2 linked regions of the Rattus norvegicus genome follow. The protein of the gene in region 1 purifies or fractionates together with the protein of each later gene. This does not show direct contact. Links are inferred from orthologs where the notes say so. Each region holds a gene or a part of one and is shown on either strand. Other genes may lie near its edges.

The links. The genes of interacting proteins can lie anywhere in the genome.
Region 2: the proteins of Strn3 (region 1) and Cct6a purify together in Homo sapiens (affinity purification with mass spectrometry; 3 studies listed by BioGRID and IntAct, with this or other methods). This does not show direct contact. The link is inferred for Rattus norvegicus from reciprocal best matches to the Homo sapiens genes STRN3 and CCT6A.

Annotation. Positions count from the first base shown.
Region 1 is NC_086024.1:74,864,844-74,872,616, reverse strand, and holds the start of Strn3 (striatin-3), read left to right. Parts: upstream 1-3,143; 5' UTR 3,144-3,359; coding exon 3,360-3,638; intron 3,639-3,736; exon of another isoform or gene 3,737-7,773. UniProt on the Homo sapiens protein: Calmodulin-binding scaffolding protein which is the center of the striatin-interacting phosphatase and kinase (STRIPAK) complexes.
Region 2 is NC_086030.1:32,514,929-32,522,744, forward strand, and holds the start of Cct6a (T-complex protein 1 subunit zeta), read right to left. Parts: upstream 4,145-7,816; 5' UTR 4,127-4,144; coding exon 3,990-4,126; intron 3,362-3,989; coding exon 3,298-3,361; intron 2,555-3,297; coding exon 2,420-2,554; intron 2,100-2,419; exon of another isoform or gene 1,965-2,099; intron 1,841-1,964; coding exon 1,667-1,840; intron 1,249-1,666; coding exon 1,145-1,248; intron 490-1,144; coding exon 379-489; intron 170-378; coding exon 10-169; intron 1-9. UniProt on the Homo sapiens protein: Component of the chaperonin-containing T-complex (TRiC), a molecular chaperone complex that assists the folding of actin, tubulin and other proteins upon ATP hydrolysis.

The DNA of each region.
Region 1 (7,773 bases):
ACCTGCTTGAGTTCTTCAGTGGAAAGATGACAGGTGTGTGGTCACCAGAACCAGGTGCTTACATAATCACAAGTCACTACTTGGTTCTCAAAGGCAGAGTACAAACTCTTCATAGTCACATATGTAATAACTGAAAGAAGGTATTTGAGTATTATGTATTCCCAACTTACTTAAAAGCTTGGAATTCCCTGATATACTTTGGCTTCATAATACATGTAAATTAAATATGAAGGTCCAGCTGGGCAAACCTGAGTAAGTGTATTGGCTCAAATATTACTTGGAGGAAAGAAAACAAGGCCCTAAAAACTAAGGTGATCAAAAATATAGGCATTCTTTTTAAAAACAAAACAAACAACAACAAAACAAGGTCTCACTGTGTACTTTAGGCTAGCCTGGAATTCGTCATGTAGCTCAGGGTTCAGACTCCCAACAATAGTTCTGCCTCACACACACCAGTGCAAAAAGTATGGAGCCGCCATACATGGCTTAAATAGACTTTCTTGAAGATCATCATGAACTAAGCAAGCTGAGCATTTGGAGCCCCAGCACTTGGGTAACAGAAACGGGAATCTCACACTCAAGGGCAGCATATCATTTTACCCTCCACCTGCTCCAAACCACTGTGAACAGAGGAGAACCTGGGAAGGGAGCAGGAATGAGTGACTGGTGAGAGGGCAGGACTGAAGAGAGGAAGTGACTCAGCCATCGATCAGAGAGGGAATTCCAGTTAGGTAAGCTCATCTGTGATAGTATAGCTTGGAGAACTCATTATCTAAGAGTTCTAGAGACTCACTTCAGTATTCTCAGGAGTAGTGGGCAGGAAACATGTTAACAGTGTAAAACATCATCTCAACAGGGGAGAAAACTGTATTTTTTTATTGGATATTTTTTATTTACATTTCAAATGTTACCCCCCCCCCCGCCCATAACCCCCCTATCCCATCCCCTCCCCCTACTATATTTTCTGTTCGTTTGTTGACACAGGGTTTCCTTGTTTAACAGTTCTGGCTATTCTGGAACTTGCTTTGTAGACCACGCTGGCCTCAAACTCAGAGATCTCCACTTAAGACAGACAACAGAAGAGCAACAGTTTTCTCTTTGCAGGGTAGGTGGCGGCAACCTTACCTTGAGCTGAAGTGAAAGATATAAATGTGCATCTTGCTTTTGTTTTTTTAAGATGCTGTCAGTGTTCTCAACCGCTGAGCCATCTCTCCAGCCTGCATCTTGCTATTTTGATATAATCACCATCCAAGTGGGCTTCAGGCCCCTAAAGAAACCTCCTTGTGTGTTTGTAAAAAGGTCCTGAGGATGTGTGTGTCTCTGAGCTTCCTGTGTGTTCTCCCTCAAGGAATGGGAATGCTTGAACCAGCTGTATGCCGATTGTCAGTGAGGAAACAGTATTTAGATAACAACACTCTTTCTTCTTATTAAAAAAAAAAGATTTATTTATTTAATGTATGTGAGCACACCATTGCCCCCTTCAGACACACCTGAAAGGGCTCTGCATCCCATTACAGATGGTTGTGAGCCACCATGTGGTTGCTGGGAATTGAGCTCAGGACCCCTATAAGAGGAGTCAGTGCTTTAAACCACTGAGCCACCTCTCCAGCCCCATTTCTTCATATTAATAAAGACCACATTCCATATGGTCTTACTTCCATATAAATATGGTAGTAAGAATAAGTGTAATAGATCTAACCAGTTCTTCACAAAATATAACAACACAGCAGACATGACAAAATAAAATCTATTTCTTTTTGTCTCTGAAGTTACATCCTGAGTGGTCATTTATGTGCTCCAAAGTGAAAAATTTTTAGGCTTTCATAGTGAAAATAAAGGTTTAAAAATACAACCAACTTTATGTATTTCCTGTATAGCTGTAAATACTGTGTATATTTCTTTTCAATTGCTGTTAAATATTGCTTTTATCTTATTGTATTACCAAATGGTTATTAGTTTTCTTTTTCTTTCCTTTTTTGACTTTCCCAGACAGGGTTTCTGTGTTGTCCTGGAACTTTGTAGACCAAGCTGGCCTGAAACTCAGGGGGCAGGCTGTCTACCTCTGTTTCCCAGGTGCTAGGATTAAAGACATGGATCACCAATCCTGGCAGCCAGGTTGTTAGTTCTATTTACTTTAAAAACTTATGAGTTTATGAGGATAATTCCTGTGAAACCAAGCACACAAAAATGCATACTACAGTACTTAAAAACTGACATTTTATGTACGTATTTCACCCTAAAACCATTTAATGATGAAGACATCGTTGTGTTGATTTAATTTTAAGTTCTATTCACAAGACTTTTATTTTGTTTCGATCAAAATTTCTGCCACTAATGACAATATCTGCGTTCAATCACTTCTAAACATCAGTCTCTTTGAAAGTTACCGTTTGCCATCTAACCCGCTATTCTCAAGATTCAAGATATCACTACTTCTCCCAGTAAACAAATGAAGCAATAGCTCAAACTCCCTCAAACACAGGCTATCTTAGAATAATAAAGACTTAAGACAAGTTAGAACTGGCGGCCAGGAGCACCGAAGTGGGACCAAAGAAGCAGGTCGCGACGAAGCCCAGGAACCAGTGAGAACGTCCGCAAGAATCTGGGCTATTTGCCAAAAGTAAACGTCTCCCGAATCTTGCAGACTGACTGGTGCCACGAAACCAGAGGTCAAGTGAGTGACAGGCAGAGAAAGAGGCCCGACGCTTTGGGACTGAGCAAAACACGCAAAGAATTCCAGAGAAACGTCAGGAATTCCAGGGCGGTACGAAGGCCGGCTTGAACCCAGCTCCGAAGCCGAGGCACTTGGCCGAGACCCACGCTGCTCCTAAGGATGTGTGCGTGAAGAAAACGACCCGGAAGCCCGACGCCCACGCCTTCCCCAAAGTCACCACTGCATCCCGTTTCCACGGGTGTGGAAAAGCTGGGGCCCGGCCCCCGAGTGGGGGCGGAACCCAGTCTTTCCCCGCCCCGAAGAGCAGTTCATCCTTAGTGCGCCTGCGTAGGGTGAGGCCGGACTCTATTTGGTTATCCGGAGTGCAGCTGCCGCGGCGTTCGCTACCCAGCATGCTGTGCGCGAGCGGCGGCCCTACGTCCCTCCTCATCCGTCCCTACCCCCCTCCTGTCGCGGCCCCCCTTTCCCCAAAGTGAGTGAGTGAGACGGGCAGATGGAGGAGGGACTGTAATGGCGGCGGCCGGCAGCTCCCTGCTCTGATCCGCGGCAAGCACACCGCAGCGACCCCCTCCCCGGCCCTCTCCCGGCCGGACCCCCGCCCTGCCGTCAGCGCGGGGCCACCGTCCCGGCCCTCTCCGCAGCTGTCGGTGTCTCGCTCTGCGCCCCAACCGGGGCCCCACACACAATGGACGAGCTGGCCGGAGGCGGCGGCGGCCAGGGGATGGCGGTCCCTCCCCGACCGCAGCAGGGACCCGGGGGGAACCTGAGCCTTCCGCCGGGAGCGAACGGAGCGCCGGGCGGTGGGGGTCCTCCGGCCGCCGAGACGGCGGGGCCCCCGGCAGGCCCCGAGCTGTCCCGGCCGCAACAGTACACTATTCCGGGAATACTGCACTACATCCAGCACGAGTGGGCTCGGTTCGAGATGGAGCGGGCGCACTGGGAGGTGGAACGGGCCGAACTGCAGGTACCTCACCCGAGTCGACTGAGGGCTGTGACCCGGGTACGGGCCGGGGGGTGGGGCCGGGGCTGAGGTTCGTGCCCTAAGGGGCGGAGGGGACCTACCTGAGCGGCTCCGGCTGGCGAGCGGTGACGGCGCTCCGGGCCCCCCCACCCCTGCTCCCGCAGCGGCCGGCTCCCTCCTCACGGGCTGCGCGCTGCGGGCATCCTTGGGGCAGCCATTTTGGCTTTTAGCATGGCGTCCGTAGAGCTCCTCCCGAGGCACCTATTGGGCCTCCGGGTTTGGGCCCAGCGCCTCTGAGCGAGAGTCTGGCGTAAGCCCGCTGGGCACTGAGTTTGCGCTTGTTAGCCCTCTTGAGGGTGAGAACTCGCGGAGAGGGCCTGGGATGAGTGTCTTGTCTCCTGGCTCCCGCACCCTCTTCCGATGTGGCGTCCAGCCCCCTCCCCCGCGCCTCGGTACGCACTTGCCCCTTGACAGCCACGCCGCTTCGGGCTAAGGCCGCGCACAATGGCTTGCGGCCGACAAGCGAAGTTTGCCTTCCCCTCCTCTACTCTTTTAAGAACCCAGGATGCCACTTGGATTTCCTTTAGCGCTTTTAATGATTCATTAACTTTAACTGAATATTTCTCTTTTGAGTTGGCTTCACTAGACGTCCCTTCTATATTCATGCTTTTACTGATAGAAAGCAAAACTGGGCTTATCTGTACTGTATTTATGAAATGTCTGCGGAAAGAATTAGCTTTAATTTGGAGTAGAACGTACTTACTTTGGTATACGCTAAAAGGGAGCTAAATGTCCACTTAATGTGATCCTCTGACAGACTTGAGTTATCCTAACTTTTGGAAGGTGGCAATTGCGGGTTCATGCCTTGAATTTTTTAAATTGCTCCATCTGTTTGAAAGGATTATTCAAGCTGTAGGATAGTTAGTTCCATTTAGTTTTAATTTCCTTTCCAGGGTATAATTTAAGCTTAGAAGAAAAAAAGTATGCATCTAAATGTTGCACCTGTTTTTCAGACGTAAATTTCGACATAAGAAATATCATTCGTTATTATACACACAAAGAACTCCTTTGGTGAATTTAGGAAAAAGTAATGTTGAAACAACAGCTTGATTATTAAATGTAGAAAAGGTATCCTCAAATAAATGTTAATCTTCAGTTTGGTTTCGAATAGTAAACCTTTTAATTGCATAGATTAATTTATTTCTGACTCTGATTGTTTACAAACAATATAAACAATTTTATTCAAAACTTAAAAATACCCAGGTGTAGTGACACAAATCTTTAATCCCATGGGTCTGGGAGATGAGGTTTGATATCCGTGAGTTCAGGCTAGCCTGGTTTATATAGAGAGTTCAAGGACAGTCACGGCTACATAGAGTCCATCTTAAACAAACAAAAAAGTAAAAGAAAATTAAAAATAACGGTCTTTCGCTGCCAAAAGCATTGCAAAACAATTGATTGAACCAGTAAACCTTTTTGGTTATGGGCTTTTGTTATTGTTGTTTTGTTTTTTGAAACTGGGTTTCTCTGTGTACCTTTGGCTGTTCTGGAAGTAAGTCTGTAAACCAGGCTGGCCTCGAACTCAAGAGATCCAGCTACCTCTGCCTCCTGAGTGCTGGGATCAAAGGCATGTGCCCTCACCAACTAGTGTTGTGGTTTTGAGAGATGGTCTCCTGTTCTTGGGCCATCTGGAACTCACTGTGTAAAACAGGCTTAGAGGTCCACATGCTACTTCTTTAAGTGTTGGAATTGTAAAAGCTTGCACCACCTCACCTGGCAAACCAGTAAACTTTTATTTAACTCCACAAAGTGGAAAAAAAGTCCACAAAGTGGGTGAAGTTAAATTTTAAAGCAACAAAATACTACCTTCTTTATCTGACACCTTTAGTTGATTTGGTAGTCTTTGGTAGTGCTTAAAAAATACATTTGTGCTTTAGAGATTACAACTTTCAACATCTTATGTCAAAATTGCCTGTGGTCTCTTTTAAATTTGTAGAGTCTACTTTAATATTCTTGGATTTAGAGTTTTGTGGGCATATAACTTTCTAGTATGTTGTGATACCGACTTTTCCATGTGGGTAGAGTGAGGTTAAACTATTAAAAAATTGCATTGAGGCTTTTGCTGAATTGATAAACCACCAGATACTTATGTAGTTTTTGATCCTTGTACTGTTGGTTTGATTTTCAAATTAGCAATTGAATTTGTCACTGAGACTAGCTAGCTAAGAAAGCATCTTGTGTCCAAATTAACAAGTTTTACATTATTGAAATAATTGGTTTTCTTCCATTTCCTTTTCATTCTTCATGAGCTTAACAGTAACAGAAAAGGATTTTTAAGGATTCTGTAGCTTGGTTTCTTTCAGATTGATAGTCTTTGTTTACTTTCCTTTTTTTCTTTTAAAAAATTTCATTGTAATTATGTGTGTGTATATGCATGTGCACATGAGTTCGGGTGCTCAAAGACCAGAGATGTTGGGTTCCTCTGGAGCTGGAGTTGAAGGTGTTGTGAGCCTCCTTGCTGTGGGTGCTGGGGATGGGACCCAGGTACTCTGGAAGATGGGCCATTTCTCCAGCCTGTTACTTGGTTTAAAGAATGTTATATGATGTTCTCTGCTTCTATTTTATTCAGAGATGTTTTCATTATTTTATACTGATACTTTTGGAATAAAATGTTCATGATTGAATTGTTTATATGCACTTGTGTATGCTGTATATTTTTAAAACATTTTTTTGGGTTAATTAATAGCATTTCAGATTTGTTTCTAGAATATTGAATGTTCTTTAAGTGCTGTCACTCTGTGTGTGCATGTGTTGGGGGGAGCAGGACTGTTTAGAAAAAGCTGCCTGGACCTTGGTAGGCTCACACTGGCCTTGAATGCTGTTAGTCTTTAATTAAAACTGCTGTGAGTACATACTTAAAAGTTTAGTGTTAGGGGGTGGATGGGGAGGAGAACAGCCATATAGAATGGGAGGGGCAAGGGTTAGGGGGATGTTGTCCTGGAAACTGGGAAAGGTAATAACATTTGAAATGGGTTGGGGATTTAGCTCAGTGGTAGAGCGCTTACCTAGCAAGCATAAGGCCCTGGGTTCGGTCCCCAGCTCTGAGAGAAAAAAAAAAAAAAGAAAAAAGATGGAAGAAAAAAAGTTTAGTGTTGAATGTATGTGTAAAAAGTGTATGTGTTGTATTTAAGCTGTAAGATTAAAATTATTTCTGTTAACTTTCTTAAAAACAAGACTTCTATTTCTTATATGTAGTTCTGAATGCACTACATATACACTTTTTTTTTTTTTTTGAGACTATCTTGTAATGTCGCCTAGGCTAGACCTTAACTCCTGGGTTTAAGTGATTCTCTGCTTCAGCCTTCTAGGTATCGGGGACTAAGATGGGAACTCACACTTTTTGGCTGTGTTGGAGATTGGTTTGTGACCTCCCATAGCACACACACAGATGGAGGTCAGAGGACAACTTGTGGGAGTCAGCTTTCACTTCTCACTGTCAGAGTCCTGAGGACATAGCTCAGGCTGTCAGGCTTTGGCAAGCTTCTTTACCCCTCAGCCATCTCTATTAGTACAATTAAAAAAAAAAATTCTCTGGCACTTAACCTGTTATCATCTGTCTGTGGTCTTGTCCCTTATAAATATCACATACACAAGTCCCACCCCTCCCCCTTCGTGATTGACCTTCAAATTTCCAAGTCTTGTGACTTTATACATTGTATTGGGCTCAAACTACACTTTCTGCTGTTAACTATTTCTTCCCCCAATCCTTTCCTTTTAGGGCTTTGATCCCAGAACTGGGGAGGCAAAATCAGGTGGACCTCTCTTGAGTTCTAGGCCAACCAGAGGTTTATAGTGAGACTGTCTCAAACAATGGACTCTTTCTTTGGCTTCCATTCATTCCTTATTTCATTTTCTCTGTTTCATCTCCTTTTTTTTTTTTTTTTTTTTTTTTTTTTTGAGACAGATCTTAACTATGCATTCCTGGTTGGTGTGGTGCTCAACTGTGTAGCTTAGGATAGCCTCAACTAATGGCAATCTTCGTGCCTTACCTTTTTTAGTAAAAGGAATAGTCTAGGGCATCTCCATTGCTGACCACTTCTTGTAATATATTCTTTTTTTGTTGTTGTTGTAGTCTGAG
Region 2 (7,816 bases), on another chromosome or scaffold:
AGTTCTTACCTTTTGATTAATAACGACAAATCCTTTATCTGAATCACCACAGACTTTCTTCTTCAGTTCTACGATTTTTTTAACTCTATCTTCAATGAATTTTCTTTCAGCCTTTACTAGTTTCTCTCTCTCTTCTGCACTCTTGTAAAAAAACCCAGAATTCACTTCTCTATTTAAAAAAAAAAAAAAAGAGAAGAGATCTCCATGTTATATGAGCTTTTTAAGGGCCCTGTATTAGGCTCTAAAAAGCAAGTGCTGCACCAGTGGGCTCCACATCACCGAGCCCCCATGTCTCATTACTGTCTGTACTGTAATGAGATGTGCGGACGGTAATGAGACAAACACTAACTTCCTCCCACCCAAAGGGGCCACACTCACGTCTTCTCATACTCCAAGGACACGTTGCATGTGAGGATGTAGGCATTTTCTACTCTTTTCTTCATATCAGGATGCCGTGCTCCATGATCCAAAACAAGCCCTCTGATTAAGCTATAAAACAGAAAATTTATCCCACTTCTGTTAGCAAACAGAGACGGGAAAGTGACACATAATAAAGTAAAATCAAGTAATTCCTACAGTGCTAATTTTTATACAGGTCCACTAGCTTCTAAAGTCGTTCAATAACTTTTCAGTTAAACCTAAGGTCAAATGTGAAAAAGGAATGCTCTAAGACACAAGACAGGCCACCTAGGCAAAAACAAGCTTGCAAGTCTACAACTAGCAGGCTATCCAACTGTGATCACTTCAACTCCTTAAAGAAATGTTTTCAGGGCTGGAGAGATGGCTCAGAGTTTAAGAGTACTGGCCATTCTTCCAGAGGTCCCGAGTTCAATTCCCAACAACCACATGGTGGCTCACAACCATATATAATGGGATCTCATGCCCTTTTTTGGCATGCAGGCATATACACAGATACAGCACTCATACATGTGCACTGTAGTCAAGCGTATCAATACATGTTCACATTTCAAATCACACCGACCACAAACACAGCACAGCCTTCCCTCATCCCCACAGTGCATACTACTTAGAGTAAATGCCATACTCAGCAACCTATCCAGTATGAACATGTCTCAGGACTGGGGGCTGGGGGGAAGCCCGCAGCTCAGTGGTAGAAAGCACTTCAAAGCATTCTCTTGCCTACCTTGTATCAGTTTCAGATTTATGCTTCATCTCCATGATCTCAACCATGAAGAGGTCAATGGGCTCATCTTTTTTCCTAATGGCCAAAATGGAGTCCACCACAGCCTATGAGATAACCATTAATAAATTTAATGTGCAGAGCCTGACACACTTTATTTAGCTGTTGTTCAGAAGAGTGGAAAAGGCTTAAGAAAATTGTCTCTGAAACCCCACAAGTGCTATTTTATGGTGGCACAGGTCCCCAATCTCAGCCCTACAATTCATACTGTATTGTGGACTAGCAGACCAGTTCCCCAAAGTATGACTAGAGACATTTTGGAGGAGTGTCAATTCTTCCTAAGCCTGGCCTGTTACTAACTCCATCTTTCCAAGCTGAAGACAGATTAGATCATTACTGCCCAGGGAAAACCCTAACCCCTTCCTCTACACAGACTTTCTGTGAAAAGCCTACACATGCACGCTTAGAACAGGTTTTTACATCAGACTTTCCCCATGCATTGCACCACACGAGGCCGATACACACCTCTGTCAAGACATCTGCAAGCTCAGCATGAACTTTAGTCCGCAGAGATGTCCTGGCCACATCGATGAGTGTTTCTCTGTCCATCTCTTTGCTTACTTTGACTTGTTCCAAAAACTGGAGTGCCTTTTCCTTTGCAGCTTCAAAGCCTTCGGTTATTATTCTGGGATGGAGACCCTATAATCCAAACAGCTATAAAGCCAGTGCCAACACCTGCATCTTCAACAGGATACCACTGAAACCCAGTCAGTCAGTAATCTCAAGGGACACCCTGGGGCCCTCCTATTCACTACAATTAAGATGGTGTGCTGATTTTCTGAATACATTTAAAAGGACACAGTACTCCTTTCAATGCAGAGGAAAAGAACAGACTTTACTCTAGCACAGAGTCAAGGCCAAGGGAACTACAGAGCACACTTGGGTGTTCACTGTGCAATCCACGAACTCAAAACTGGCTCCTAACATTTTGCTGTAAGAGCTTGCTTCTCTTGTCTACAGGTAATCTGAAACTAATTCACATCATTTTGAAATATTTTTAAAAAGAAACCAGAGTAGGCTAGTCCATTAAAAATATGTAATCATTACTTAGAGGTGATTTTTTCCCATTCATTTCAGACCAGTGACAGACAGGCAGAGGCTCTCTGAGCTAAGCAGCTCAACCGTTCTACGGTGTGCCCTCAGCTAGCATCACATCAATTAGCACCATTAGCCCACCAAACAACAAGCAGAAACTCAGAAACATGAATCATTGTGTACTTCAGAAATGTAGAGGTCCGCTTGTTTGAGCAGCTCTCCGATGATGAGGACATTGGATGTAGTGCCATCGCCGGTTATGTCATCCTGCGCTGTAGCCACTTTTGCTATCAAAGAGGCTGTTGGGTGTTGAATTTGCTGCAGGTAGAAAAAGAACTACTTAAATGACTTATGGTTACCTAGGGTAAAACATAAGAAAGGCTTCTTTTACAGCGTCCCACTCAAGATTGCACAGCATGGCTACATTTTGGTTGGATGTTCAAGACATTCCCTTTACTGGGATGTGAACTACAGGACCTGAAAGTTCTGGTGAGGGAAATGGGTAATTGGGTCAATTTAATATGATCCCAGGGACAAAAATAACAACTCTAAGGTAGCCTGGTGTGAGGCGCACAGCTTTAATCCCAGCATTCAGGGAAAGAAAGTAGGTAATCACTGAGGCTTACACAGTGAGACTCATCTCAAACAAAGTAAGGAGATTTTTCATTTCTCCTGCAGTTGAGTAAAAAGATGATCATTCATTTTTGCTTTTCTTTCCCACTGCCCTGTTTTTGCATATGTAGCTCTGTCTGGCTTTGAATCCTGAGATCTAGTTGAGTACTGGGATTAAAGCTGTGTTACAAGATTTAGCTAAAGCAGACATAGCGATCTTTTATACAATTATTGTTATTATTTTTTTTTTAGCCCAGACTATACAAAGTAGGCCAAAACCAAAACAAAATACCAAGGACCCAAACACACATTTGAGACTCTACAGAGTTCCTCACCCACTACAGCACTTCCTATATTTCTGCTTGAAACGTACGATGAAGAATTTTATCCAGAAGGAACAGGTCAAAAGTTTTTTTTTTTTTTTAATACCTAGCACGGCAGCTTCTTACCATTTCATGAAGTAGCACATTGCCATCTTTAGTAAGTTTGATGTCTCCAGCACCAGATACAAGCCTGTCAAACGGGCAGGGATTGATGAGCAAGAATGTGACTTTCCAATAAAAAAGCAAGTAAGAATTCCACAAAGCAGCCAAGGGGTGATGTATATCACCCAACCCTCTCTTAAAGTCATGCAAATCTCTGGGAGTTCCAGACAAACCATAACTTATCAGTCAGACTCTACCTCGACTAATTACATAATGAAAAGACCCACGAAAGCGAAAGAGGAGTAAAGGGGACAAAAGGAGGCTATGAAATAGGACTCCAAAGCAGGCGTAATTTGAGGAACGGATACGAGAGGCGTGACTAAGAGTATACTTAAAAATCCAAGCGCTACGTCTCAGGGAACTTCACTAATTTGCTGGCTAATAAGGTAACAAAAACAGATCCTCCTGAAATTTGGGTCTTATTCCTACATCCTAGTAAACTCGGGGGGGCTGGGTTCAGGAAGGGTGCACACGCCATCCTCTTCCTCCAAAAGAAGTGGGTGCAACCCGCAACCCCGAAAGGCGCGAATCCGGGTGGTTTGGATGGGATGCAGCACAAACATTGTAGAAAATGCTAGTGCGAAGGCCTGGAGGCAGCGACTGGAGTTTGCGGCCATTGACCCGCCAGGCCCTCCCGCCCGCCAGCCCGGGCTTACATCTTCATGGTGCCTTTAGGGCCCAAGTTGGTCCTCAGAACATCCTGCAGGCCCCGTGCCGCGCTGATGTTCACCGCCAGCGCTGCCTGCGCCCGGGCCACCTCGGCTTTGGGATTTAGGGTCTTCACCGCCGCCATGGCTGGTCGAGCTCAGGGAGAGGCCGAGAACAACGTGCTCTATGCGGGTCTTCTCGAAAAGTCTTACGCATCTGGCCCGCCCCCAGCGTGCCCACAGAGCACCTCCATTGGATTGTGGCTCTCTTGGTGCCCGCTGATTGGCTTATCCTGACGCTGGTCTCTCTGGGCCCGCCCACACGCCAAGTCGCGACGTCATTGCGCATCCGAGAAACTTGTTCTCCGGTAATCCGCACTCCGAATTCTAAGGTTCCGTTGTGCTCGCCTCACAACGTTGCGGTTCCGCGCTTTAAGGATTACGGCGTGGCGGTTGCGCGGCCAGTTTTGCAGGAAAAGCACTACTGCTCGTGTGTGAGGGATGCTTCGACCTCGGCACTCGACTGGGCGTGACAGGAAGCAGAGGTGTCGGCCTCTATTTGCGGGGTGTCTCTAGCTACTGGACTCCGGGATGCTTCCCTCACACTCTCGCGAGGTTTCCCAGGTTCATTTGTCTTGCCTATTTTTATCCGTGAATGTGGGAACACAGAAAATGGACCCTTCCCCTCTACCCTGGTCATTTAAAAATCCCGGAGTTTGACGGGAGCATTATTGCTAGGCAGAAAGTACTAGATGGCTTTAGGAGTGGTGCGATGGGCGTTGAGGAGCCTCAAGAATCAGTCTATTCTTAGGGCCCAGGTCATTGAGGCAGTTTTGTTTTCTTAATTTTTAAAAATATGAAACAAAGATTCACTCTGTGTCCCGGCTAGACAGCTCACTGTCTAGCTTCGGACTCGTAGCAATCCTCCTGCCTCAACCTCCAACGTGTTATGAACTAAGCCTGCTAAAAACTCAAATATGGCTGGACAGTGGTACCCAGTCTTTGAAAGCATTCCTTTAAACATTAAAAAACAAAAACAAAAACAAAACCAACTAAGCGTATAGATGTTTCCCCTGCCAGTATGTCTGGGCACTTAGGTATAGATACGATACGTGCTGAATTTTTTTGAGTCACTTCTCCACACAGATGACAACTCATAATGCCGTTGGATGTATTCTACTGAGCTATACTGAAGGTTTTGCCATTTTGATAGGAATAAGAAATTCTCATTCCCCTCAACATCTGTGTGATACTCATTACAGAAACGATACATAGCCAGGCGTAGTGTCATATGCTTTTAATCCCAGAACATGGGAGGCAAGCAGATCTCTGTGCCTTCAAGGCCAGCCTGGTGTGCATAGCAAGTTCCAGGCCAACCATGGCTACGTAGTGAGACCCTGTCCAAAGAAAACAGAAGGTTTAGCAGGTGTATAGGTTCGAAATACAGAAAATTTAAAAAGGAAAAAGAACTAACCAGTCATCGGACTGACATTCCCAAACCTCTTGCTATTCTGGCTACACTAAGTATAATGTTTAAAGTAGCTTTGGAGATTTGAGAGATCGCAAAAGCTGTGCATATGATATTTGGCATGCAGAAGACTCGTGTTTACGTTTGTAGACCACTTGGCAGTTTCATCATCACTGCTGGTAAAACAAGGCAGAGGGAGACTGCAGAGTCAGTCGTCTGCTTACAAAGTAGAGAACAGGGCAAGAAAATGTTGGATCGAGTTGGAAAACTCAAGACTGCCCAGGAAAACTCGGTGCTGACACTGGAGATAATATAATATTCCCTAAAACATTAGCGAAGCGTATATTGGAGCTGCTTTTTCTTTGTTTGTGGCTTGTTTTCATTTTGAGACGAGGTCTCACTATGCAGACAAGGTTAGCCTTGAACTCCTGATCCTCCTGCCTCTACCTACCTCCTATTTATTTGTTTGTTTATTTCATGTGCATAGCCATTCTGTCTGTGTGTATATCTGCGTACCAGAAGAGGCCTCCTAGGGCTATAGTTGTGAGTTGTCATGTTAGGTGCTGAGTGTGGTACACAGGACCTGTGGAAGAGCAGCCTGTGCTCTTAACCGCTGTGCCCCCCGCTCGATCGATCTGCCTACCTCCTAAATGCAGGCAGTACAGGCATGCACCACTAGACCCACCATTTTGGGTGGGAGCTTAACCTCTGAACTATGTATGTCCCAGTGACTGTCATTCTCAACAGGGGATATCAGAACGTCACCACATCTGACTAGACTGGTTTTGTTTGTTTTTTCGTTCGTTTTGTTTTTTTGAGACATGTTTTTTCTGTGTAGCCTTGTCTGCCCTGGAACTTAGTCTGTATATCAGACTGGCCTCGAACTCAGAGATCCACCTGCCTTAGCCTTCTGAGTGCTGTAAAAGTGAGTGCCACTACATGGCTTGGTTTTTTTTTTTGTTTGTTTGTTTGTTTGTTTTTTGGTTGTTGTTTTTGTTTTTTGTTTTGTTTTGTTTTTACAGTGGCCTAATTCACTAAATGACTACATTATAATTTATTTCACCAATTTCCCATTGGGTCAAATTTATTCTGATATTTTGCAACTAAAAATTTCTGTGACATTTCACATACATGCTGGGATGCCTGTAAGATACATTTGAGATATGTGATTATTACATTCTTTGATCTACCCCCAACAACTGCTTTCCCATCTTTTTAAAGAGTTTTGTGGTTGTTTGAGACAGAATCTCAAAAAGGTTTTATTACACTCATTTGTGTGTGTATAGGTGTTTGCATCTATGCCAGAGTATATTTAGAGAGGTCAGAGGACTACTGTGTGTGTGTGTGTGTGTGTGTGTGTGTGTGTGTGTGTGTGTGTGTGTTTTCCTATGGAGCCCTGGCTATTCTGGTACTTGCTGTAGATCTGGCTGGCTTCAAACTCACAGAGATCCACTTGCCACCACCTCCTGGACCATGTGGGTCCTTGGGATCAGATTCAGGCCACCAGGCCTGGAAGCAAGCACCTTGACCATTGAGCCCATCATTTCCAGACAGGGGTCTCATGGAGCCAAAACTGGCCTCAAACTCACTGGTTGAAGATGACCTAAAGTCCTGATCCTCCTGCCCACTCAAGAACTGGGATTTGCTTGACCACCACACCTTTAATCAGCACTCAGGAAACAGAGGCAGGTAGATCTCCAAATTTGAGGCTAACCTGGTCAGTCTACAAATCAAGTTCCAGGACAGCCAGGGACATCAAATCAGAGATACACAGAGAACCTGGTCTAAAAAAAAAATTAAAACATTATTTATTTATTTTATGATTATGAGTGTTTTACTGTTTGTCTGTATACCACTTGCATGCCTGATACCCTCAGAAGTTCGAAGAGCGTGCAGGATCCGCTAGAATTGAGTTACCGATGTACTTTTCTTGGCTCTGTGGGCGCTGATTGCTTGTAGACTGTCCCTAATACATAACTAAAACTAATTTGAAAATCTTTAAAAGACATAAGAGGGCCACAGAAATGGCTCAGCAGTTCAAAGCATGTGCTGCCCTTACAGAGGGCCCCGGTTGGTTCTTAGTACCCAGATGGGGACTCAAAACCATTCTTCACTCTAGCTCCAGGGGATCTGAATCCCTCTCCTCACCTCGGACGGCACCAGGCACACATGTGATGCTCATGCATGCATTCAGGCAGCAACATTCGGGCTTATTAAAAAGAAATCAAAACCCAAACAAAACGAATTAATCATCACTTAGCTTGAGATTCCCTAGCCATGGCTCTGATGTGTTGCTTCTGTCCTAGGGTCTTATCCAGGATTGTAATCAGTGTCGTGTCCTTCAGTCTGAAGAGGTGCACGTCCTACC